3 linked regions of the Tamandua tetradactyla genome follow. The protein of the gene in region 1 purifies or fractionates together with the protein of each later gene. This does not show direct contact. Links are inferred from orthologs where the notes say so. Each region holds a gene or a part of one and is shown on either strand. Other genes may lie near its edges.

Evidence for each region. The genes of interacting proteins can lie anywhere in the genome.
Region 2: the proteins of MAP3K5 (region 1) and ARRB1 purify together in Homo sapiens (affinity purification with western blotting; 3 studies listed by BioGRID and IntAct, with this or other methods). This does not show direct contact. The link is inferred for Tamandua tetradactyla from reciprocal best matches to the Homo sapiens genes MAP3K5 and ARRB1.
Region 3: the proteins of MAP3K5 (region 1) and MAP2K3 purify together in Homo sapiens (co-immunoprecipitation; 4 studies listed by BioGRID and IntAct, with this or other methods). This does not show direct contact. The link is inferred for Tamandua tetradactyla from reciprocal best matches to the Homo sapiens genes MAP3K5 and MAP2K3.

What each region holds. Positions count from the first base shown.
Region 1 is NC_135351.1:37,024,115-37,031,787, reverse strand, and holds the start of MAP3K5 (mitogen-activated protein kinase kinase kinase 5), read left to right. Parts: upstream 1-4,594; coding exon 4,595-5,033; intron 5,034-7,673. UniProt on the Homo sapiens protein: Serine/threonine kinase which acts as an essential component of the MAP kinase signal transduction pathway. Plays an important role in the cascades of cellular responses evoked by changes in the environment.
Region 2 is NC_135334.1:70,219,907-70,227,915, forward strand, and holds the start of ARRB1 (beta-arrestin-1), read left to right. Parts: upstream 1-5,008; 5' UTR 5,009-6,081; coding exon 6,082-6,155; intron 6,156-8,009. UniProt on the Homo sapiens protein: Functions in regulating agonist-mediated G-protein coupled receptor (GPCR) signaling by mediating both receptor desensitization and resensitization processes.
Region 3 is NC_135332.1:157,483-164,723, reverse strand, and holds the start of MAP2K3 (dual specificity mitogen-activated protein kinase kinase 3), read left to right. Parts: upstream 1-4,240; 5' UTR 4,241-4,323; coding exon 4,324-4,372; intron 4,373-5,306; coding exon of another isoform or gene 5,307-5,322; exon of another isoform or gene 5,323-5,515; intron 5,516-7,241. UniProt on the Homo sapiens protein: Dual specificity kinase. Is activated by cytokines and environmental stress in vivo. Catalyzes the concomitant phosphorylation of a threonine and a tyrosine residue in the MAP kinase p38.

The sequences.
Region 1 (7,673 bases):
CAAATGGCTGAGGGTAGGGTTGCTGCCTACATAAGGGCAATTTTCCTTCTAGATCATGCTCACTTCCATGGTATGTCATCCTTATTTTTTTTTAACTTTTTTTATTAATTAAAAAAATTAACAAAACATTTAGAAATCATTCCATTCTACATATATAATCAGTAATTCTTAATATCATCACATAGTTGCATATTCATCATTTCTTAGTACATTTGCATCGATTTAGAAAAAGAAATAAAATGATAATAGAGAAAAAAAAAACTATACGTACCATACCCCTTACCCCTCGCTTTCATTTACCACTATTTCAAACTGAGTTTATTCTAACATTTGTTCCCCCTATTATTTATTTTTATTCCATATGTTCTACTCTTCTGTTGATACAGTAGCTAAAAGGAGCATCAGACATAAGGTTTTCACATTCGCAAAGTCTCATTGTGAAAGCTATATCATTGTTCAATCATTATCAAGAAACATGGCTACTGGAACACAGCACTACATTTTCAGGCAATTCCCTCCAGCCTCTCCACTACATCTTGAACAACAAGGTGATATCTACTTAATGCATAAGAATAACCTCCAGGATAACCTCTAGACTCTGTTTGGAATCTCTCAGCCATTGACACTTTGTCTCATTTTACTCTTCCCCCTTTTGGCGGAGAAGTTTCTCTCAATCCCTTGATGTTAATTCTCAGCTCATTCTAGGGTTTTCCTCAGTCCTTTGATGAGTCTCAGCTTATTCCAGGATCTTTGTCCCACGTTGCCAGGAAGGTCCATACCCCTGGGAGTCATGTCCCACGCAGAGAGGGGGAGGGTGGTGAGACTGCTCATCATATTGGCTGGAGAGAGAGGCCACATCTGAGCAACAAAAGAGGCTCTCTTGGGTGTCATCCTTAATTTCATCCTTCCTGTTGCTGGCAAAAATGCAGCCTCTCAGCTGCCTGATCCAGACCCATAAAAACACACAGGCCTGAAACAGCCCTGAGTGGGCTCACTGGATCCCTGTCATCTCTTCCAGGATCTGGGTCTCTATCCTCTCTGCCAGATATGGGATCCCTGTTGTCTATTCCATAATCTGGATTCCTGTACTCCCTTCCAGAATCTGGATCCCAGTCCCCTATTCCATAATCTGGATCTCTGTTCTTTTTCTGGCATCTGCATCCCTGTCCTCTCTTCCATCATCCTGGTCCCTGTCGTGTCTTCTGGAATCTTGATTCCTGCCCTTTTTTCCAGAATCAGGTCCTTGTCTCTTCTAGAATTTGGATCCCTGTCTGCTCTTCCAGAATCTGGACAAATATTTCCTTATTGTCTTGTGAGTTCTTTGACATCTTTATGTATATATTTAAAATTGTATCTGCTTTCTGCAGTGCAAGGGTTGATCAGAATGATCCAATCTATCATTATCCAGAAGTAGAAATCTCTCCAGCTCTTTATGAGGGAAACTCTTTACTATACCTGCAGTCGTTCTCAAAGGAGTCCTGAATCCCTTCTCCAAGTGGTGGTGGGTGGACTCTATTTCTGACCAGAAAATTTCCGCTCTGCTGCTATGCCTTCCTAAGTGTAAACATATCATAGATTATGATATAGTTCTATCATTTATTGATGGTGATCATAATCCTTGTTAAGAGATTCTAGAGTTGCCTGCTATTTGTGGTAGAGTCTAAGGAATAGACTCAATTTTCCTGGATTCTTTTTTTATCCCAAACCAGAATGCCAAGTTAAAGGTTTGCAATGAGAAATCCAGTCCCTTAGGTTCTTTATATTTATTAGTATTATTTATATTCTGATTTATGTTATTTTAGATTCCTTCTGAAATGCCTTCATTGAATTAATACTTAATATATTCCTGTTTTTTCAAATAGTAAATAAAAATTTTGAAGAACACATATATTTTTACAAATCCACACTCAATTATGTAGTATTTCCAGTGTTCTTTAAACTCAATTTGATGTCATAAAATTTCTTTTTTAGAATTCAATGTCAGGAAAAGTTTGGACTCTTCCTATCAATATGTGTAATTCTGAGTGTGTGTGTGTTTAATTTTGACAGCTGAAAAATCCCACCCAGAGTGAAGTTTAGCAATCAATTGAACTTAATTTATCCCAGGTGCTTGGTACTTCTTTTACTGGCTTCTTTAACTTGTGATAATTAAAAATTTTTCTTACCCTATTTTATAAGTGACCTTAAATACTTTTCCGAGTTAAGAATATACTGGATTCTCACTTATCTCATCTGAAGACGCAATGCAGGAAGCAAACTTTCTTTGTTTAAATAAAGCCGAGTTAGCTAGGAGGCCCTTGCCCATTTCAGGTTTAAAATTCAATTTTGCCTCTTCAAGAACAATGTAGAAAGCCCAAGGCAGAAAGTAATTTTGCTTGTGTCCATCACTTCTATATACGTTGTCCTTTCGGACTAGAAAAAGGTGTTCCTTTTAGACCCACAAATTGCAAAATGCATACCCTGTGGGTGGTTCAATGAGAAAATGTTTTCCTTTCTCCAGACCCACACTCTGACCCAGGCTTGGCAAGCTGAGCAGGGCTGAGTTTCAGCAGCCCATGTGCCCCCTCAGCCTGGTTCCCCTGACTACATGCAGATCCAGAATTTCAGTCATAATGTGAACTATGTGAAATTGTGCATAATTGATGACAGTAGCCTTTTTAGACTTTATTAGAATGGCCCTAATGAATTTCCAGTTAAGTATTTTTGGCCATCAACAGGTGGAGAATCATCAACTCACAGGAATTTGGAGGTTTGGCAAGTTGTTGGAAGTATTAAAAGATACATATCTGTTAGTAGCCCATCAACCTTTTGTTTTAGTACTATCGCTGATTCACTCAATATCTGCGTTACTTCCTAAAGTTGAATGTGGACCATTTAGATACTAGTTGATATCAAGAATATAAAGTTTCTTTAATAAAAATTCACTCCTGTCATTTTACATGCCTTTAAAAAAAATCTAACCTCACTTTGCTTCCTCGTGGACACAACTGTCTAGCTTCTAGATTCTCATAAATACTATTTTCTTCCTTACTTTATTGCTTGACTACTCAATTGTTTTGTTTTTATGTTCAGGTATGTAATGTAATTCACATTTCCTTCTGCCTTTTTCATAGGACACTATGCTTCACTAATCTCTGTTCCTGAGATGGGAAGTCCAAAACCCATGACTTTATTGCCTTCACTGACTGTCCTAACACACACAGCATTCTGAAGAAGTTCTCAGAGAACACAGCCTTTGTCTTACACATCCGTTTTTGTTTTGTTTATTTTTGCAAGGGCAAGCACCAGGAATCGAACCACGTCTCTGGCATGGCAGGGGAGAACTCTGCTTGCTGAGCCACCATGGCCTGCCCTACACATCCGTTTTTGCTCCCCAAATGAGCAGGTGCTTTAACATTATTATTATTATTTGAGGCTCTTTCACAATCCAGGCACTTTACTGAGGGGAAATAAAATAGAATAGGTCATCTAATTTTCCTCCAGGGTGCAGATGATCACTTGCCGAGTCGGTGGATCTTAAGTACATGGTGTTTTGAGGGGACCCTTCCAGATCCTAAATGAGAATAGTTCGTTCAGCATCTGGAGTTATCAGGGACTTACTAGTGATTGCAAGCACACTAAGGAAAAATTTTGAGTGGACAGCGAGTACCAGGGGCCGACTTGGTAAATTTAGTTCTAGCCGGCCACTGCGTGCTACCGTCACGCCAACACCGACGTCCGGGTAGGGCCCGAGCTGCCGGGCGCGTGTGAACTCACTCCTCCCGCCTTGCCGCAGGCGCCGCGCGCGGGCCCGGGAGACCCGCGGAGCCAGTCCGCTGGGCGCCGGAGGGGGGCGCCGCGGGCGCGGGCATCGTTGCCAGTACTGCCGGGGCCGGCTCGGGGGCCCAGGGAGTGGCGAGAGAGACTTTTTTGCGCCATCCTGCGGCCCCGTGCGCTCAGAGATCTGCCACCCCCAGCCGTCCCTGGCAGGGCCCGGTTGGCGGCGGCGGGGGCCTCGGGGACGGGACTCGGTCCCGGCGGCCCGCTCGGTTTCGGCCGGCCTTGGGCTTCCCGGCAGCGCCCTCCCCCGGGACGCCCGGACTTCTGCGCCGCGACGAGTGGGCGGCGGGACTCCAGCGGCGAGGCTGGCGCTCGGCGCCGAGATCGGAAGACAGCGAGGCGAGGGGAGGAGGAGGAAATAGAGCCGATGCGGGGCGGCCGCTGCCGGGGAGGGAGGCGGGTCCTTTGGGCGGCCTCAGGGCCGGGCTGCCGCGCACCGAGCCCGCCCGCGCGCCCGGGCTCTCCAGGTAGCGCTGCACCCGAGGGCCCGGCGCTGGCACGCACGCAGGGGCGCACCGGGCCGGGGAGGCGCCGTCTCCTGCGCGCCCAGCCCTCCCGGCTCCCCGCCCTCGTCCTCTGAGCCCGGCGGCGGGCAGGCGACGCGGCCACGGAGGCGCCGAGGAGGGGCGTCCCCGCGGGGGACAGGGCGCCCGAGCGCAGGCGGCGGCGCGGCGGGGACGGCGATGGCAGCGCCCTAGCCCGGCGGGCGCGTAGCAGCCCCGAGCTGCGGCTGGCGGGACGGGGCGGCGCGGCCCCCGCGACCCCGCCGGGCGACATGAGCGCCGAGGCGGGAGAGGGCATCACCTTCTCCGTGCCGCCCTTCGGTCCCTCGGACTTCGGCGTCCCAGCCGAGGGCGGCGGCGGAGGCGGCGGCGGCCGGCGGGGAGGAGCGGCCCCAGAGAGCGAGGACGACGTGCCGCTGCCGCCCGCGGGCAGCTTCTGGAACGTGGAGAGCGCCGCCGCCCCGGGCACCGGCTGTCCCGCCGCTGGCGCCCTTCGGAGCCGGGGCAACCCCGGGGGCTCGGGCGGTCGCCGCACCTCGGTGGTATACGTGATCAATGAAGCGAGCCAGGGCCAGCTGGTGGTGGCCGAGAGCGAGGCCCTGCAGAGCCTGCGGGAGGCGTGCGAGGCGGTGGGCGCCACGCTGGAGACCCTGCACTTTGGCAAACTGGACTTCGGGGAGACCACGGTGCTGGACCGCTTTTACAATGCAGGTGCGTGTGTCACCCCTCCCGGTCGTCGCGGCCGCTGGCCACCTTTCCCCGCGCGGCGCCTACCCCCTGCCTCCCCCCCCCACACACACCGGAGGGGACAATTTTTATTTTCTGCTGGGCAGGAAGCGAGCTTCCTGCTCACTGACATCTTCCCCCACCTTGGGGACAGCGAGTGGCGCTGCGTGTATGCCCCGGGTGCCCGCCGCTTGTGCAAGAGCCGGCGTGCACTTGTGCAAGAGCCCGACGCGCCCGGCCACGGTCTGCGCGGCAGCGCTGGGCACCATGTGCTCGTCTCGAAGAACTTCGAGAAAGGCGAGAGTTTTGCCCCTGTCCCACCTCCGTTGAGTGACTCTCTCTCTTCCCTTGGCTTTGGCTCTGTTTTCCCTCTGCATCTACCTGTGACCCTTTTAGATGACGCCGTTGCTCGCCGGGCTCTGTGCAGTTTTGGGAGCTCAGAAAACATCAGGATCACAGGTAGCTGTGGGCAGAGCTGTCTAAATGAATTCGCGGGTCAAGTCCTGCCTTTCCCAACTCATTTTTCCAACAGCAGGTTTTAGTGCTTTGAATTTCCCAGCTGATATCAATATGAACTTTCAGATAATTACTTCCCAAAGTACTAACTTTGTCATTTGCATTAAACTGGTGTGATATCTTTATTAGGGTCTGTTATTTATGACGTCATCTATCATGATGGGTATTTTTCAAGTTAAATAGTTAATATTTTCACATAGTCTAAAGCTGATATGCTATCTTGACGACAGATTTGATTGGCCATCAAAGTGTTTGCTAGCATAATCCATGAAAAAAAAATTTACTTTTTCAACCTATCGCCGATATCAGTGACTGAAAAGAATTACCTATGGGTTAGCAAGTGTGAGGAAATAATGCCATACTATTGAAGTGGATTTTTTAGGATCCTTTACAATCAATGTTGAGAATATATGCATACTTATTTTTATAATCATGGGTGGGAAAATTGGATTTAATGATGACTTCACAACACTAAGTTTCTTGCATTTGTACTCTTAAAAGGTTTTATATTCCAATCTTGTTTTTCGGTTCAGATTCTATTTAGTCTCTTCAAAACACCTGAAGTAGGCATATGTCAGGCTTGAAATTCAGCCAAAGCCGAATATTTTAAGAACAAGAAGAACTTCATGGGAAGGAAGCAAGACTAAATAAAGTGGGGCTTTCTGTTTCTGGCGTTTTTTTCCAATCTTGAGCTTCATAGCTGAATTTGACTGTATATTATGTATAATAGTTTGGGTCTTTGGGTGGCTTATTACAAAAATTATATAAACATAACTTTTCTAAAATTATAGCACTCTCATCTTTAAGTTATAATTTGGAAGATGTCAGTGAAGCTTCAAAGAACTGAAGATAAGGGAGAAAAGCATCTGACTATTTACTGGAACCTATTTTCATTGCACTGATTGGGTATTTTTTTTAAACTTTTTTATTGTAAAATATATCATATATGCAAAGTAAAGAAAGGAAAAAAAGCAATAATTTTCAAAGCACACTTCAACAAGTAGTTACAGAACAGATCCCAGAGTTTATCATGGGCTACCATTTCACTATCTCAGATTTTTCCTTCTAACTGCTCCAAAATGCTGGAGACTAGAAGGAATATTAATATAGTGATTCAGCAGTCAGCAATCCCATTTTCTCTGTTATATCTCTTCCTTCTCTTTAATCCTCTCAATCTATAGGGATCTCTGGGCAATGTCCATTCTGATTTTTTCATGTTGAGAAGGGGTGTCCACACTAAAGGAGAGGGGAATGTAATTAAATTGATCATCCTAGAGAGGCTGGTCCATCTGAGTTTCAGAATTTAACTGACCTAACAACCCTGCTGGGATTATATGTTCCAAGAAGGCTAACCTAGTGTATGGAAGTTTTATAGAGTCAGTTCGCACTCTGGGTATTCTTAAGAGTCAACAGGAGTAATGTTGGTTGGGGGATAAACCATGGCCGTTAGTACTATTTAGCTGAAGCTTAGAATTAAGTTTCCTAAGGGCATGCCTCAAAATCTAGGTATTGGCCTATTTTCTTGAGAGTCCCCAGTGGTTGGAAGGGTACCCGGGGTTCTCAGATGGGAGAGTTTAACAGTACCATATGTATATTTATATGTTTTTTTCCCTTCGGACCCTCAAGGGACTCTACCAACACTTTTTAATTATCAGCCCACCATAGTCTGCAATGTGTCCTGGTATTGTATTAAGTTATATGGAATTACAAGGCCTCGTTCACGTTCTGGACTCCAGGAATTTGAGTTGTTTAAATGAGCTATCCAGAGAGATTGATTTAGATGATGTGTTATAGAAAATTTAGGTTCCAGACATAATAAACCTCTCTGCCTTTGGTCTCATACAGTAGGTGAAGGTCTAGAGTGCATACAGTATCATCTTTTACCCTGTAATCTCATTTACCTTAGACCCAGCCAGACTGGCTTTATTTTACACTCTAATTGAGGCCTGATCTCTTTTTCAGTTACTTTAATTGTTATTTTGTATAATGATGCTAACTTTCAGGGCTGTAGCTCTCCATTTCTGGGTCCTAAGTGTCACAGAGCTGCTCAGAGTTTCAGGGAAATACCAGCTGATGCACGTGTAGCTCAGTGTCTCAGAATCCAGAAAT
Region 2 (8,009 bases), on another chromosome or scaffold:
GGTGCGGTAAAATGGTGCAGTTACTGTGAAAAATAGTTTGACGGTTCCTCAGAAAATTGAGTACAGATTTACCGTATTATTTGGCAATTCTACTCCAGGTATATACCACAGAGAATTGAAAGCAGCGATGTGAACAGATATTTGCATACAGATGTTCCTAGCAGCATTATTCACAAAAGTCAGAAAGCAGAAACAATCCAAGGGTGGTATCTTGGATTTATATACTCCAGAAAAACATGTTCTTAATCTTAATCCATCCCTGTGGGTGAATCCATTTTAAATAGGACTTTTTGATGAGGCTGCCTCGGTAAGGTATGGCCCAACTGAAGCAGGATGGGTGTCAGTCCTCATATGGAAACCTCATCAAGAAAGCCACAGAAAGAGAGAGTCATGGGAAGAAGCAAGAAGCTGTAAGTCAGCAGAATCCAGAAGAGACAGGAGAAGACAGAAAAAGCCAAGGACCAAGGATTGCCGGCAGCCAGCCCCAGAATGCCCCAGTCTTCAGGGAGAAAGCATTAGCCTTGCTCATACCTCGACTTTGGACTTCTAGCCTCGAAACTGTGCACCAATAAATTCCCATTTGTTTAAGCCAGTCCATTGCATGGTATTTGTTTTAGCAGTCAAGAAACTAACATATAAATGTCCATCAATGGATGAATGGATAAACAAAAGGTGGCTTATACATAGAATGGAATATTATTTAGCAGTAAAAAGGAAAGAATTTCTGATACATGCTACAACATTGATGACATACAGCATGTTGAGTGAAATAACCCGGCTACCAAAGGATAAAGATTGAATGATTTCACTTATATGGAATAACTAGAATATCCAAATTCATAGAGCTAGAAAGAAAATTACAGAGTACCAGGGGTGGGATGGGGAATGGGGAGTTAATGTTTAATGGGTACTGTTTAAAGTTTTGTAATGGGTGGTGGTGATTGTAGCACAGTGAGTGTAATTAATGCCACTGAACTGTATTCCTGCAAGTGGTTAAAATGGGAAATAGTATTGTCTCCCTTGGCTAAAACTGCTGGAATGCAATATACTAGAAATGGGTTGGCTTTTACAATGGGATTTATTAGTTTACATATTTACAGTTCTAAGGCCATGAAAAGGTCCCAATTAAGACATCAACAAGACAATAGCTTCTCTGAAGAAAGGCTGCTGACATCCTGGTTCCTCTGTCACACGGGAAAGCACAGGGCCAGCGGCTGCTGATCCTTCTCTCCCGGGTTTCACTGCTTGCAGGTTCTGGCTCTTTCAGTTTCTGTGTGTCCTTTCTTGTTTCTCCCAGAGCTTTTCTCTCCAAGCCCTCTTGGTATTTCTCTCTTTGAGCTCTCTGGGCTTTTCCTGTCTTTTTTCCTCTCATAAAGGACTCCAGTGAAGGGTTAAGACCCACCTTGAATGAGCCGGGTTACATCTAAATGGAAACCACCTCACCAAGAGATCCCACCCACAATAGGTCTGCCCCTACCAAAATGGATTAAATGAACTTGGCTTTTTCTGGGATACGTAACAATTTCAAACCAGCAGAGGTATGTTACTACAATAAATAAATACTAACCCCCCCCATAGAACTGTACAGTACAATGAGTGAATCCTAATGTAAACTATGGACTTCAGTCGATAATTTAATATAATAATATTGGTTCATCAATTGTAACAAATGTACTATGCTAGTGCAAAATGTTAATAATAGGGAAAGATGCATGAGTGAGGGTAGAATAAGGATTTTTCTGTAAACCTACAACTCCTTTAAAAAATAAAAATAAAATTTAAGAAAACTTAAACAAAAGCTATTGAATAAAGGCTATAATCAAAGGTCAAATTCTGGCTTTCCTATGAATTAACTCCCCTTCGGGAAGGGCCAGAGGAAGGGAGGTCAGAGGCCAAGGTCCAGAGGAGGCTGTGGACTCAGGCAAATTCCTTAGCTTCTCTGAGCATCAGTTTGCTCATTTATAAAATAGGGTAAAGAGCATTTATCTCACCTAATTGTGGGTGCTAACTAGTGCCAGACACACCACATCCTCTCTTGGGAATTTTACAGGCTAGTGGGACATACGTGACATCTTGAATGCCTGCCTCCACAGTCTAGCGATCCGTTTGGCGTCCCTAGAATGCTCACGCCATGCTTTCCAACCTGGGAAAAGCTGTGCAGGGCAGTGAGTACCTGGAACCATCAGATGCAGCTCCCTGGACTCACTGAACTTATTTGCACTTGTGATTTGGGCACTAGCATGGGCAGAACTACAGAGGATCCTCTGGGTTGAGTGAATGAGTGTTTATAGGTGGAGAAACTGGGGTGCAGAGGCTGGCAGGCCCTGGCCTCTCCATTCTGGCTCGGGTCCTCTCTGGCTCACAGAGTGAACCTCCTGTCATCAAGGAGGCCTCTGGTCTGCTCCTCTCATGCTCCCTGTCTCCCGCTCCCTGTCTCCCACACCCAGCAGGTGACTTCCTCTCCTCCCGCTGTGGGGGTGAGGTTGGAGCCCAGAGGCCAAGGAGGGAGGGGGGTTCTGGGCCCTAATCCACGCTCTCTTGGCTCCTAACATTGCTTTGACCCTGACCTTGGACCACCCTGCCTGCCCATTCCTCCCCCTCCCCCAATATGGACATAATTACAGTAATTATGTTGAACGATACTGGGATATCATTACTCAACTATATATATATATATGTATATATGAACATAATTACAGGAGATGTTTACAGACCTGCAATCACATCAGAGTAAATTACAGCTTCCTTTTCTCTCAGTAATACTCCGATATTAGGGATCCATCAGGGTCAATTAGACCAAATCCCAGCAGTGACCTGAAGGGAAGACCTCACACTGCAAAGCAGTCAGGGACCTTAGGCAAAGAAGGATGTCAGCCAGCATTTCACAGGACACCAAGGAGCCTGGAGAGAGTGGCCTAACATTTACTGGGCACCTACTGCATGCCAGGCACTCGGGGAGTTCAGCAAACACAAGTGAGTGCTTTCAATCTAGGAACAACTCCTAGGAACAATTCTCCAGGCTGGTATTAATATTCCCACTTTACAGGTTTGGAAATTGGCTATGACAGGGCTGATGTCCAGGGTCACCCCCGGCAGGTGGTGGAGCTGGGCCCGGGTGCTTTCGAGGCTAGACTGCCAAGCACGCAGCAGGCCAGCTCTATGTCCCCTTCCTGTACTCCATTTCTCCCCTTCTCACAGCTTCCTCTTCCTGGGCTGCCACTCGAAGCCCCGGCTCGCCTCCTGTCTCCCCACCCTTATCAGTTCTCCAGCGTCGACACTGCCTTCTCCTGCCCCTTCCTCCTCTTTTTCCTGTCCCTGTAGGGCTGTTCGTTATTATCTCTCCAGAAGCGAGGGAGGGGCTGGTGCCTAGGGCGAGGGCCCTGCCAGGCGCCCGGAGTCTCACCGACCCCTAACCCCAGCCACTACCATCCGGACGCCGCCAGGGGTTTGGCCCGGGGCTCGGCAGACCTGAGGCTTCCACCCACCGACACTCGCAAAGGCTGCCCCCGGTGTGCGCAAGAGAGTGCGCTCGCACCCACGGCGTGCGCACACACGCACAACTGCACAAAAACGTGCACACCCCTCTAACCACGCAAATACACTCTATAATAGGCCCGTGCACACAGCCGTACCCACGCACCCGCACCGGCACACACCCTCGCGTGCACACAGGCGCACGTTTACCCAATCCAGCGTGCTCCCTCACATACACACGTACACACGCACACAGAGAGGCATACAGCTGGACATATGCCCATGTATATCCCCAAATGCCGACCTCGGAGCCTTGACCCGTACCACCGCCCTGCGCTCGAGCCTTCGCGCACACACACAGAGGCAGACACAGGCACAGACAGACAGTCACATTCGCGCGCGCGCGCGCGCACACACACACACACACACACACACACACACATACACGCACGCACGGTTCCACGCCCCTGGCCGCTGCCCTGGCGCTGCGCGGCGCAGCGGGGCGGCGGGCGGGGACCGGGGGCGGGGGCGGGGGCGGCGGCGGCGGCTGCGGGTCGAGCCGAGGAGGCGGAGCAGGGAGCCGGGAGCGGGCTGGCGGGCGCTCCTCCTGCCGGCCGGGGATTTTCCAGGCTGGACGCTGACGCCGCGGACCTCCCTGCGGCCGCCGCGGACCATGGGCGACAAAGGGACACGGTGAGTGCGGGCGACGGCCCGGCCCGGCACGCGTTTGGCCGACCTGGGCGAGAGCTCTGGCGGGGCCTCGAGTCCGCGTCCTGGCGCTGCGTTCGCGGCCACCCGAGGACTGCCGTGGTCTGGCTCCCAGCTCTCCTCCGCCCGAGGTCTTTCGTGTGGTCCCCGGGAGAGGCCGTGGGCCAGGGTACCCAAAGGGCGAGGACAGGTCGGCCCCACGCCGGAACACACTCACACACACTCACTCCTTCGCAGACACCCAGCACTGGCGGGCAGACGCAGGGACTCACGGGGGCAGGTTGACACACAATGGCACACACACTCGTGGGTACACAGGGCACACTCATTCTCGGGCGATCTCATGCCGGCACACACACTGACATTCACGACCAGACATTCGTCCCATACAGTGACACCCTTGGTGCACACACCAGTATACACTCATTGTCAACATATTCATACTGTTGGCATCCACGGGTACACACGCCAACATACCCCCATGCTGGCACATGCATGTGGGCGCACACCGGTATACATAGTCTCTTGCATTAATTGTCATAAACACTCCTGCAGGCACACACACAGTGTTACCTTCGCTGACACGCTCACTTGTGCTGGCACATATCTCACCAACACCAGACCACAACAACACTGACCCATGCAGACACACATCAGAATAACACCCACACAGACTGGCGCCCCGTGGGAACAAGCTAACAGATCTCGGGACTGCTGACCCGCTCCCTCCAGTCCCCGCACGGTGAGACACGGAAACACACACACACACACACACACACACACACACACACACACACACACACACACACACACACACACGGGGTGGGGGAGCCTGGGGAAAGCAGGATCCATGGGCTCTATTTCCTTTCCCTTTGGTTCCCGAGGCCTGGCGTGGCTGGCCAGGATTTGTTTTGAGCTGGAGGTGGGGAAAGGGGCTCCTGTCTTCTGAGCAGCCTGCCCTGAAAGACTTTGACTGGAAAGGGAGTGGCCATGCTTCTGAAATGGGAAACTGGGGCAAAAGGGGAGAGGATGCAGGGGCAAGGCGACCCGCAGAGACTGCTCCGTGGGACCCAGACAAGCCCCGGTCCGGTACTCACCTCTGTCTCCCTGGTTCTGTCCTTAATTCTTCTCACCCCCTTAAGTTCTGACAGAAGCCCCTCCCTTGTCTCCTCCTCTTACTGCTTCTGCAAGCCGCTCTTTCATTTGTTTCTTTCTTTATCTTGTCCTATCCTTGTGTTCCTTGTCTCTGATCTCCCTTCTCCTTTCCCTTGCTCCACCCTACCCCCTCTCTCCTTGTTTCCAATGATCATTTATCGAGAGCCTACTATGTACAAGGCATAGTTTGGAGATTGAAGATGCACAGGCACATTTTTTCCCTGAATGTGCTAATAGACTGGAGAGAAATGGCCCTGTCATGGTATTTTGGGACCACCATCAAAGTGATTTCTCACCCACTGCCATCTGAGATTCTCTCAACAGCTGAAAAAGGTGCTCCAGAAATCATTTCCAATTTCTGGAAGAAGACACCGAGGCTCAGAGATAACATATCCTCTTAACATTTACAAACTGTTCCCCAGCCATCCTCTTGACGGCTCTGGAAGGTTAATTTTCCTCTTCCTGTTTTCTGGTAGAGGAACTAGAGCACTGAGAGGCCACCTGACTTGCTTATGGTTAAGAAGGGTCAGAGATAGGGCAAAAGCTGGAACCCCCTTGGTCCATTTTTCTGTGGCTCACTTTGGGCACTGCCAAGTCCCTCAGGGGTCCTGGATTTGGGGGCCAGGGTGGGGTTCTCTGCTGTGTGCATGGGGGTTCCGGCTTTGTAGGCAACTGCAGAAGATCACGAGAAGCCTGCTTTCGACGCGATGGACGCTCCCTGTTTCAGCCAGCCTGGCCAGCCCTATGGCCCAGGTCTCTGCCCTCAGACTCCCTTCTGCGCCACGTGCATCTTCCCAGGAGCAAAGACCCTCTGAATGGTGAGGTCTGGCTTTCCTTCCCGAGGGCGGAGTGGGAGTCAGGAGCCACGGCTCCTCTCCTCTGCTGCTCCTGCCTCACCATCAGGGTGACTCAGCCCTCTTGGGCCTTGGTCTGCCTCTTTGCGTCTTGGGGAGAAGTGTCACTGGCTTGTCATGGATTGTCAGCAGGATGGGGCCACCAAGGGCAGCCAGGCCCCAAAGGCGTCTGTTGGAAATCCTGTCTCTGAGGCCAGGACTTTTTCCGTGACTCTCCCCTGATATTCCTTTAACTCACTGGGGGGACCTTGGGTGATTGCCTTCACCCTTCTGGACCTTGGTTCTCCCATTTTTCTTCCATCTCAGGGCTCTCCTCAGTTTACGGGATTCACTGGGCAGGGTAAGACTACTGCTTGCAGCGTGGAGCTCAGGACTGGCTAAACCCCTGCCGTCCCCCACAGGCACCCCTGCAGCCCCTGGAGGCCCCTCTCCACCTTTCCAGATGGGTTTCCTGAGGAATTTGGAAGAGAAGAGCAAAATAGATAATAGACTGCCTGGTTCTGTAAACCACGGGATTCTACTTGACTTATGACTTAGAAGAGGAAATTGCAAATATCTAATACTTTAAGCATCAGAAGTCATTGCATCCATCCCTCCTCCTTGAATCACACTCCCCCATTTGAAAGTGAAGACAAAAATTAATTAGAAACTGCCACTGGCCTCTCGGACTAAATGGGAAAGAGGGGATGAGACAGTGCCTCGATGGTACCGTACAGGCAGGTACACACTGGGATCAAGCCCACATTCAGTCGACAAATGCTGACTGAGTGCCTTCTGGGTACCAGGGGCTGGGGCTCAGACATGAAGGACTCTACTGTGCCCCCAGAGGATTGAGGGCAGAGCAGGTGATTATAATGCAGGGTTACATGTGTTGGGGGATGCCTAAGAAGGAGTCCCCAATCCTGCCCTAGGCAGAGGGCATGATACGGGAAACTTTCCTGGGAAGGAGGCGGTATTGGAGCTACTGAGCTTCAACTGGAAGGATGAGGGGCCCGGGAGGCGGAAGTCATTCCTGGCCATGGGTGCAGAATGTGCAAAGGTTTGGAGGCATGAAGCAACACCCGTGGTCTGGTGGTTGGGTTAGCTATGATAGATGAGCTGTAAGAGGTAAACACAGGCCAGTCATCAGCAGCCTGGAACGTCAAACAAGGGAGAGGGATTTTCTCCTGAAGTCAGTGGTGAGTCAGAGAAGAGTGTGGGGCAGGGGAGGGATGGGAGTAGATATTTGTTTCAGAGACATGCGTTTGGCAGTAGCAGAGAGGGTAAGTGGGAGGGACCGGCCTGGAAGCAGGAAGACCAGTGAGAAGCCTGGGACAGGCCTGAGAGAAGATGAGATCTGAACTGAGGCCCAGGTGGAACTGAGAGATATTAATAAAGGGGTGGAACCCATCAGCCTTGCTGGTTGACTGGACCTTTGTTGGGTCCCTGGTATTTGTCCGGAGATTTATATGCATAATCTCATTTGACTTTCCCAAAGATACTCCTAAAGTAGGGATTGTTATTCCCATTTTGCAGAGGAGGAAACTGACTAGGAGAGATTAAATAACTTGTCCACTGGCATTCAGCCATTGAGGGTTTGAGCCCAGGCCTTTCTGCCTTCGAAGTCCTCTCTGCTGCTCCACACATTCAGCCAGGAGGGAGGCTTGTCTGGCTCACAGCTGGCCTCCCCCAGAAGTCCCCAGCTCAAGTTGTGCATTGCTTCTGGGCCTTGCTGTTTCTACTAACTCAGTCGGCAGCACAAAGGATCTGATTTAGACAACAGGAGGGACTTCCTGAGAGGTAATAGGATAGAGTGGAATTTCTTTCCTAAGTTTACAT
Region 3 (7,241 bases), on another chromosome or scaffold:
AGCCCACCTGCCTTGCAGACTGAGCATCCAGTTACTCACACAGGCCCTAACCTGCAATGGGCACTGGCCCATGCCTGTCCCTGCCTCGCCACACCCAGAGACATTCTGGAGGATTCCAGCAGCAGGGGAGTTCTGCTCCTGGCCTGTAACTGTCCAGCAGGGGGCAGCCTCAGGGGGTCTGTCACCCCAGGGAGCCCCAGATGGGCGGGACACAGGGCTGTCAGAGCAAAGAGCCGACGTTTTCCCGGAAAGTGGCTGAGTGAGCTTGAAGGTGACTTGTGTTGCTCAGATGAGAGGTTTCCCCATCTTTCAAGGCCGCTTAGAAGGCGGAGGCAAGGGAGGCCGAGTCTTCAGCCCCGTAGGCTGGAGTTTGCTTAGGTGCTTCTGCCTCAGTATGCCTGGCCTTGGACAGGTTCCGGCACCTTCTATGAGCTTCCTTTTCCTCATGTTACACGGAAATAATTATAGGATGGGCAGCAGCAGGGTGGTTCCATGTTTTCCTCCATTCCACAGCTGATTCAGGGTGACGCAGTGCCCCATGCAGCAGTCACGGGGCCCGCGAGGGGATCAGCGCCTAGTGGGGGCTTTAGAGGTGGCCCCTGCTGCTTCCAATGACATGATCCTGACCCCTGTGGCTGCAACCTTAGGCTTTAGAGCGCGGTCCGGCTGAGTGAAGCAGGTACACTGCTGTCCCTCGGCCCTCCCGCCTTTGCCCTCCACGCGGCCCCCTGACAAAAGGCTCCCATTTGCCCCCAAGCTCCTGGGGACAAAGTGCCACCTCCAGCCCGGGTGGGGGAGCCAGCAGCAGCCCCTGCTTTCGGGGGGGGGCGTCTAACGGGGGGGGGGGGCCGCCGGGCGGGTGGGCGCTGATCGAGAGGGTGACCAAGAGGCGATGAACGCAGGGTGTCAGGGAGCCCCCACTTCTGACCTTGGAATCAGGCCTTCAAGTGGCGGCAGGGAGGGGCATTTCCAGAGGAGGGAACCGCCCATGCAAGCAAAGGCTGGGGTGTGGGGGCTCGGGGGCGGGCTGGGGGCAGGACGGGCGGGGTTGGGGCCGCCTCGGGTGGACGTCTGCGGAGGTTGGGGGGGCCCCGAGGGTGAAGGACAAAGTGCTGGAAGTTTCTCCCCCAGACGCCATGGCAGGGGTGAACAGTCAGCGCTGTGGGCAGTACTCTCTTCGTGCGGTGTGTACGGCCCGGAGGCGGGCTGAGGTCAGGGCAGGTCAGGCAGGGGCCTGACGGGGTGGGTCCAGCCGCGGGATTGGGGGGCCGCCCGCAGTGCCGAGCCTGGTGGCCAGAGGGCGCCGTGGAGGCGCCGCCCGCGGAGGCGGGGCCGGCTCGTGCGCATGGGAGCGTGCGCGCGCCAGGGCGGCCACTCGGCAAGCCTGAGCACGCGCGTGCAGCCCTGTGTGGGTGAGTGCGCGCGCGTGTCATTGGGGCGCGTGGGCTGGCACGCGTGGGGAAGGGGTGTGAGTGAACACGTATGCAAGGGGGACCGAGAGGTGAGACGGGGTCCCGTCGCCTGCCCCCGCAGCGTGCTGGGCTCTGCCATTCCCGAGCAAGTAGCCCTGCTCCCGCCGCAGGCCCTTTGCACCGGCCTTTCCTTTGCTGGGATGCCCCACCCCCAGGCACCTTATTGCCCCCCAACACACACACACACACACAGGGGGAATCGCTGCTTAACCTTTACCTTCCAGGGAGGCCTTTCCTGAGCCCCCAAGCCCCGGCACAACCCCCAACCCCTAATTTCCTCCAAAGTCCTCACCACCATCTGACACTGTCATTTAACTTGTGTATGTTGCTTGTCGGCCTCACCCACCAGAGCGCACCTCCCAGAGGGCAGGAAGTGGTGTCTCACTGCCTACCCGCAGTGCCAGGCCCACAGCAAATATATGCGGAATGAACGAATGAATGGGTGGCCAAAGGAATAACTGAGCTGCCGGGATCCAGGTTTGGCCATCTTCTCGCTCTAGCCCTCTGTCACCGCAGGTGCCGCCACGTCCTGACTTAGGTCACACACCCTCCCTTCCTGAGTCTTACTTTCCCTGCAGATATAGAGAGGGGTGTTTGGGATTTTTCTAGACCTCAGTGCAGGAGGCCACTTGGACCCACTTCAAATGCCCCTCTGGAGTTTCTGGTTTCCAGTGGTTGTCGAGACCCCAGCCACAGTCAACCGTGCTGGAAGAGGAGACTAGAAGCTCCCCTGGCCCGCCTGACCTGGCCTGATGCTCATGAACCCTGCCTGGCCCTCACTCAGCTCTTGGCATTCATGCCTCCCAGCTTGCCCTTTGCAGACCCTCAGAGGTGCCTACCCTTGCTTCTGGGCCTGGCAAGCTCCTACGGTCCTGAAAAGGCTGGTCTCAAAGTCACCTCCTCCAAGGAGCCTTCCCTGACCCCACCCAGCTGGGGTTGTGGCACCTTCCTGGGCTTTGCTCATGTGTCTATTTATAGCACCCCACATGGAGTTTTGTGATTCTTGAGCCATGTGTCAGGCTCCCTGACTAATGCATTAACTCTGTGAAGGCCAGGGCTGTATCTGATTCATGTGGGGGCTGGGGGTGGGACAAGAGTCCCTGGATGGTGTCTGTGTGTTCTGTCCGTCCTCCCTGTGTCCATTCCCCAGCTTTCAGCACCTGCTCTGTGCCTAGCCTTGGGCTCTGCAGTGGGAATGAGATGGGCAGAGGAGGGCAGATGTTCTAGAGGGATGTGGGAGTCAAACAGAGCCGGCAAGTGAGGCACTGGTGGCCAGGGCTGTGCAGAGACTGGAACAGGGCTGGGAGGGTCACGTGACTTGGGCTACGTGAGATGAAGCCCCCAGAGCCCCGGGAGGAGGGCAGGATATGTTCTAGGCATGGACCTTGCACATGCCCTAGGACATGCCAAGGAGCAGAGTGGACAAGGGGGAGAGAGTGGCCGGCAGGGCTGGTCCCAAGAAACTCCAACGGACCAGGTTTGATGCCTGGTGGGAAGAGAGCCGCACAGGTGCCCATTTTCCAGGGGATGGACAGAAGACCATGAGGTGAAACGACTAGGCCAGGCTCACTTGGTCCATTTGGGACAGAGGGCTTTGGGCCACTTGGACACCCAGGAGTGGTAAAGCCGGGGTGTCTTCCTGTAGGAGGTCGTTATGAATTCACATTTCCTGGGCATGTGTGTGTGTGTGCATGCCTGCGTGCGTGCCAAGCAGGCCTCTGAGGCAGGCACTTCCAAGCATGGGATGCTTTCAGGAAGGCCTCAACGCCCCATGGCACAGACAAGTAAACAGAGGCACGGACCTGCTCAGGGACTCATCCAAGGTCTTTGGGATTTGAAGCTGTGCCGTCTGAGTCCAGATCTCATGACTTTCCATCCCACTGCCTGGAAAGGGTGAGCAAGAGATGCAGGAAGCAAATGGTGATAATTATAAGGCTCACTCACCCCTTATCTGCTCTGGTTCTTTCACAGCTGTGTGGGCAAGGCGCTGGGATCATCTTGTTTTACAGAGGTCAGCCCCTGTGCCACCGACGGGTCATGGCATCTGCTCCCTCCCCAAGGAGGCCCCGGATGGGCCCACAGCCAGCCCCCCTCACTCTCCATCTGAGTCATTGATCCCGACTCCAGCCTGGCCAGGGGCTGCAGAGCACAGAGGCTCGGGGAATGCCGCAGAGGGAATGCTCTGTCTTAGCGGCGCTGACCCAATGTCCAGGGAACGCCAGGGTGAGACCTCGGGCAGGGCCTCCGCACCCACCCCGCGGGCATCTACAGCACGGCCAGCGCACGTGGACCGGCCTGGCCAGCGGCCGAGGCGCAGGGTCGTCCCCAGTCTTGCCCCCCGCCCCGGGAAGGGGGGAAGTCGGGGTCTGACCTGAGTTCATCGCAGGGGCACTTTCGTCTGTCCCTGTGGGGCTCGCCCGATGCTCCGGGGCCTCTCAGAGCTTTTCCAGGTCACACACCCCGGGCCAGCCCACGTACGGCCTCCACTGGGGTTGCGGGCAAATGGGGGCGCGCGCTGAGGCCCCGACCCGGGGCGGGGTCTGATGCATGCGGGCGGGGGCGGGGCCTGAAGGGGCCCGGGCTTCCCGGCGGGAGGCGGACTTGACGGGCAGTGGGCGGGTCCTGCTTCTGGGCGGGCCCCGGGGGCAGGCGGGCCAATCGGCGCGCGGGGCGGGGCCGGGGGCGGGCGCCGTCGGGCCCGGCGCGCTGCGCTGCCCAGTCTGACTCCCGCGCTGCCCGCGCCCCGCCTCGCTGCCGCCGCGCCCGGCCGCTCGCCCGCAGCCATGAGCCCGCGCCGCGCCGCTCGAGCCCGCCGCCCCCTGGCTTAGTCCCGCCGCCGGCTCCCCGCGCCATGGAGCCACCCGCCTCCAGCACCCCCGCCGGCGTGCCCGCGTCCAAAGGTACGAGCGCCCGGCTTGAGCCCGGCTGGGCCTGCCGGCGAGCCCTTCCGGGGTCGGGCCTGCCCTCTGGCTGACCTGCTCTGCCTCGCCCCGGCCGCCCCCGCCCAGCCTGCGACCTCACTCGGACCCCCGGAGGCCGCGGGGCCGCTGCCTGGCCGAGGCCTCCCGGGCCGACACCTCGTTTCGATGCCCCCGCGCGCGTGGGGAGGGAGCCTCACGCTGCCCCCCAGGCTGGGCCAGGAGGAGCCGGGTGGCCCACTGACCCCCAGTGACCCCCGTCGACTCCCGCCGCGGGCCCCAGACTGTCTCCGGGCTAGTCGAACTCGGACCCCTACCTCGTCTGCGCCCTTGCTGGGGAACTCGCTGGACTCCCCCGTCCTGGGGTCTGGGCGCCTCAGCTCGCCCCAGCCCACCAGTTTGGAGCCCACTTTGCCGCATCTGCGGCTGCCCTGCGTGGGGCGTCTCCGCAGACCCCGCGCTCCGTTCTGCAGCCGCGGCCGGGAAGCTTGCCTGTCCCTTCGGGAGACGGTGGTGTCCCCCCGCCGGCCGCGCACTCTCTTCCCGGTCCTTCGCGGGCCCAGGGCCTCCAACCCCTGTCCAGGGCTTGGGTCCGTACTGCGGCCTGTCCGGCCGCCCCCGGTCCTGGGTCCCCGCCGGGCGTTTTTGGAAGTGGTCTGTGAGCCGGCGGCTGTGGCGGCGGCAGGACTTGTCATGGGGAGGTGGGGGGGCACGGAACCTGGAAGGCGAAAGGGGATTTTTTTTCCCGCAGTTACAGGAAAGGATGTTTTGGGCATGTCAGAGTCTGGGCAGGCGGGGTGGTATGAGAGGGCTCCACACCGGGCGCGGCTGTGGGGAGGGGCCGCCTCGGCCCAGCAAGCCCCTTTACCACCCTTGGGCCTCAGTTTCCCCATCTGTAAAGCGGGCGTAATCATACCTTCTTGCGTGCGCATCACGAGTGTGACGTGAGCTCACGGGTACGGAATGCTTTTAAAAACATGGGTGCTGCCATGAGCTGCTCGGCAGAGCCCGCGGCTTGGAGTGTGGTGGTGTCCTTGTGGAAGAGCTTCGGCCTGGCAGGCCTCACGGCATGGTCGGGCGGGAGGCCGCGTGGGGTCCCAGAGGGTGTGGGCCGGTGGCGGACGGACAGGGCGGTACCTCTGGCGTCTTACGTAAGCGGACACCGGAGCCCTGACCATTGGCCAACCGCGGTGAGTAACCCGGGAGGCACTCGCGGGGGCGGGGGCGGGGCGCCGGCCGCTCAGGCCTCGTATTTACAGACCGCTGGGTCGTAAATAAGGTGCTTCTCTACTCTGGAGCTAGGTACTGGTGTGGTGGGTCATGGGTGTGCTGTGCGCCCCAGGGCAGGTCCGCCACCTCTCTGGTGGAGGTGTTCGTATTTGGAGGCCTTTTTAATTCTTGCATGCTGAAATAAAAGTTACACTTACAGACTTGTGAAGGGAGAGGGGTGACGGGTGTGAGGGGCAGCACTGCTGGGGGGGCACTGTTTGACCCGTGTGCTGTGTAACCTCAGGGCTGGCATTACTCTCTCTGGGCCACTCTGTAGAGAGGGCCAGGATGAATTTGCAGCTTGGGGTATTGGCTGATCTGCAGCTTGAGGTGGGTGGGGAGGAGGGCCAGTATCTCCCTGAGGCCCAGGGACCCTGCCAACCTGCTTGGGGTCCAGGGAAGGAGAGCCATAACACCCCCTCACCAAAAATGATAAGGCTCCTGCCTTCAGAGCTTTTTCCTATGTGCTGTGCATTGTCTCCTTTATTCCTTTATTCCCTCTACCCAGCCCCATTTTACAGAGGAGACTGAGGCTCAGAGGTGTTAGGGGTCTCCAGAGGACTCTCCCAGCTCTGCCCCCACCTCCCATTCCTGTGCTGGCAGCTGGAGCTGAGCCTGCTGGGAGAGCCCTCCCCTGGTCACACCCCTGTGCCAGCGGGCGTCTCCTCCAGACCAGTGAGACACGGAGCTGCCTTGTGTGCGCAGCCCTTCACAGTTGGCACGTTGCGAGCTCTCTGCAACCCGACCCATTTGACAGGCAAAGCTGAGGCCAGTGGGGAGTCCCCATGCCCGCCCCATCCCATCCAGGTCCCGCAGGGGTTACTGCTCACCGTCTCGGAGGAATTCCAGCAGACCTGGGAGTGTTTGGCCCCAGCTTATCCAAGTGTTTCACCCTCACGCCTCTGCGTTGCCTGGTGCCCATCCTGGGCCTGGAGGACTGACTGGGGCCCAGGCTCCCAGGCACACCCCATACTCCCTCTCTGACAGGGCAGGAGCCCCCGTGTCCAGCTGCCACTGCCTACCTGAGACTGTAACCCGGGGCTGTGTCCTGGCTGACACCTGGGGCAGCCCTGGGTAGCTGACAGCCCTGGCCTGCAGGGGCCTGTCGGTGCCACGCCTGGAGGCGGGAGGCGAGGGGATGTCCCGCCGCCCGCCTCAATGCACAGGAAGCCCGGCCCGAGTGGGGGCCGATGGGAGCTGAGTTCCCAGCTGGCTGTGTGGGGTGGCTGCCGGCAAGTGGCCTCCGGGCTGAGTGTGGGGCTGTGTGGGGCTGACTCACCCAGTGGGCCCGCGGCCGCCAGCGCCTGAAGGCCATGCCCGCTGCGGTGGGAGGGGGCTGCAGGCCCTGCCCGCCCCCAGCGCGCGTGGCCCCCTGCAGGGACTTGGGCTGCATTGCTCCCCCTCCTGCCCCCATTCAACCCCGCCCAGGAACTTCCTCTGTTGGGCAAGGCACCGTTTCCTTCTGCTCACACACAGGTGGGGGCGGCAGGGGACCGCCCTGGGCCCGGGGACTGCTCTGGGCAACCGAGCCATGGGAAGCCTTGCTGGGAGGCAGGTGTGGAGCAGGGCGGTGCTCGGTTGT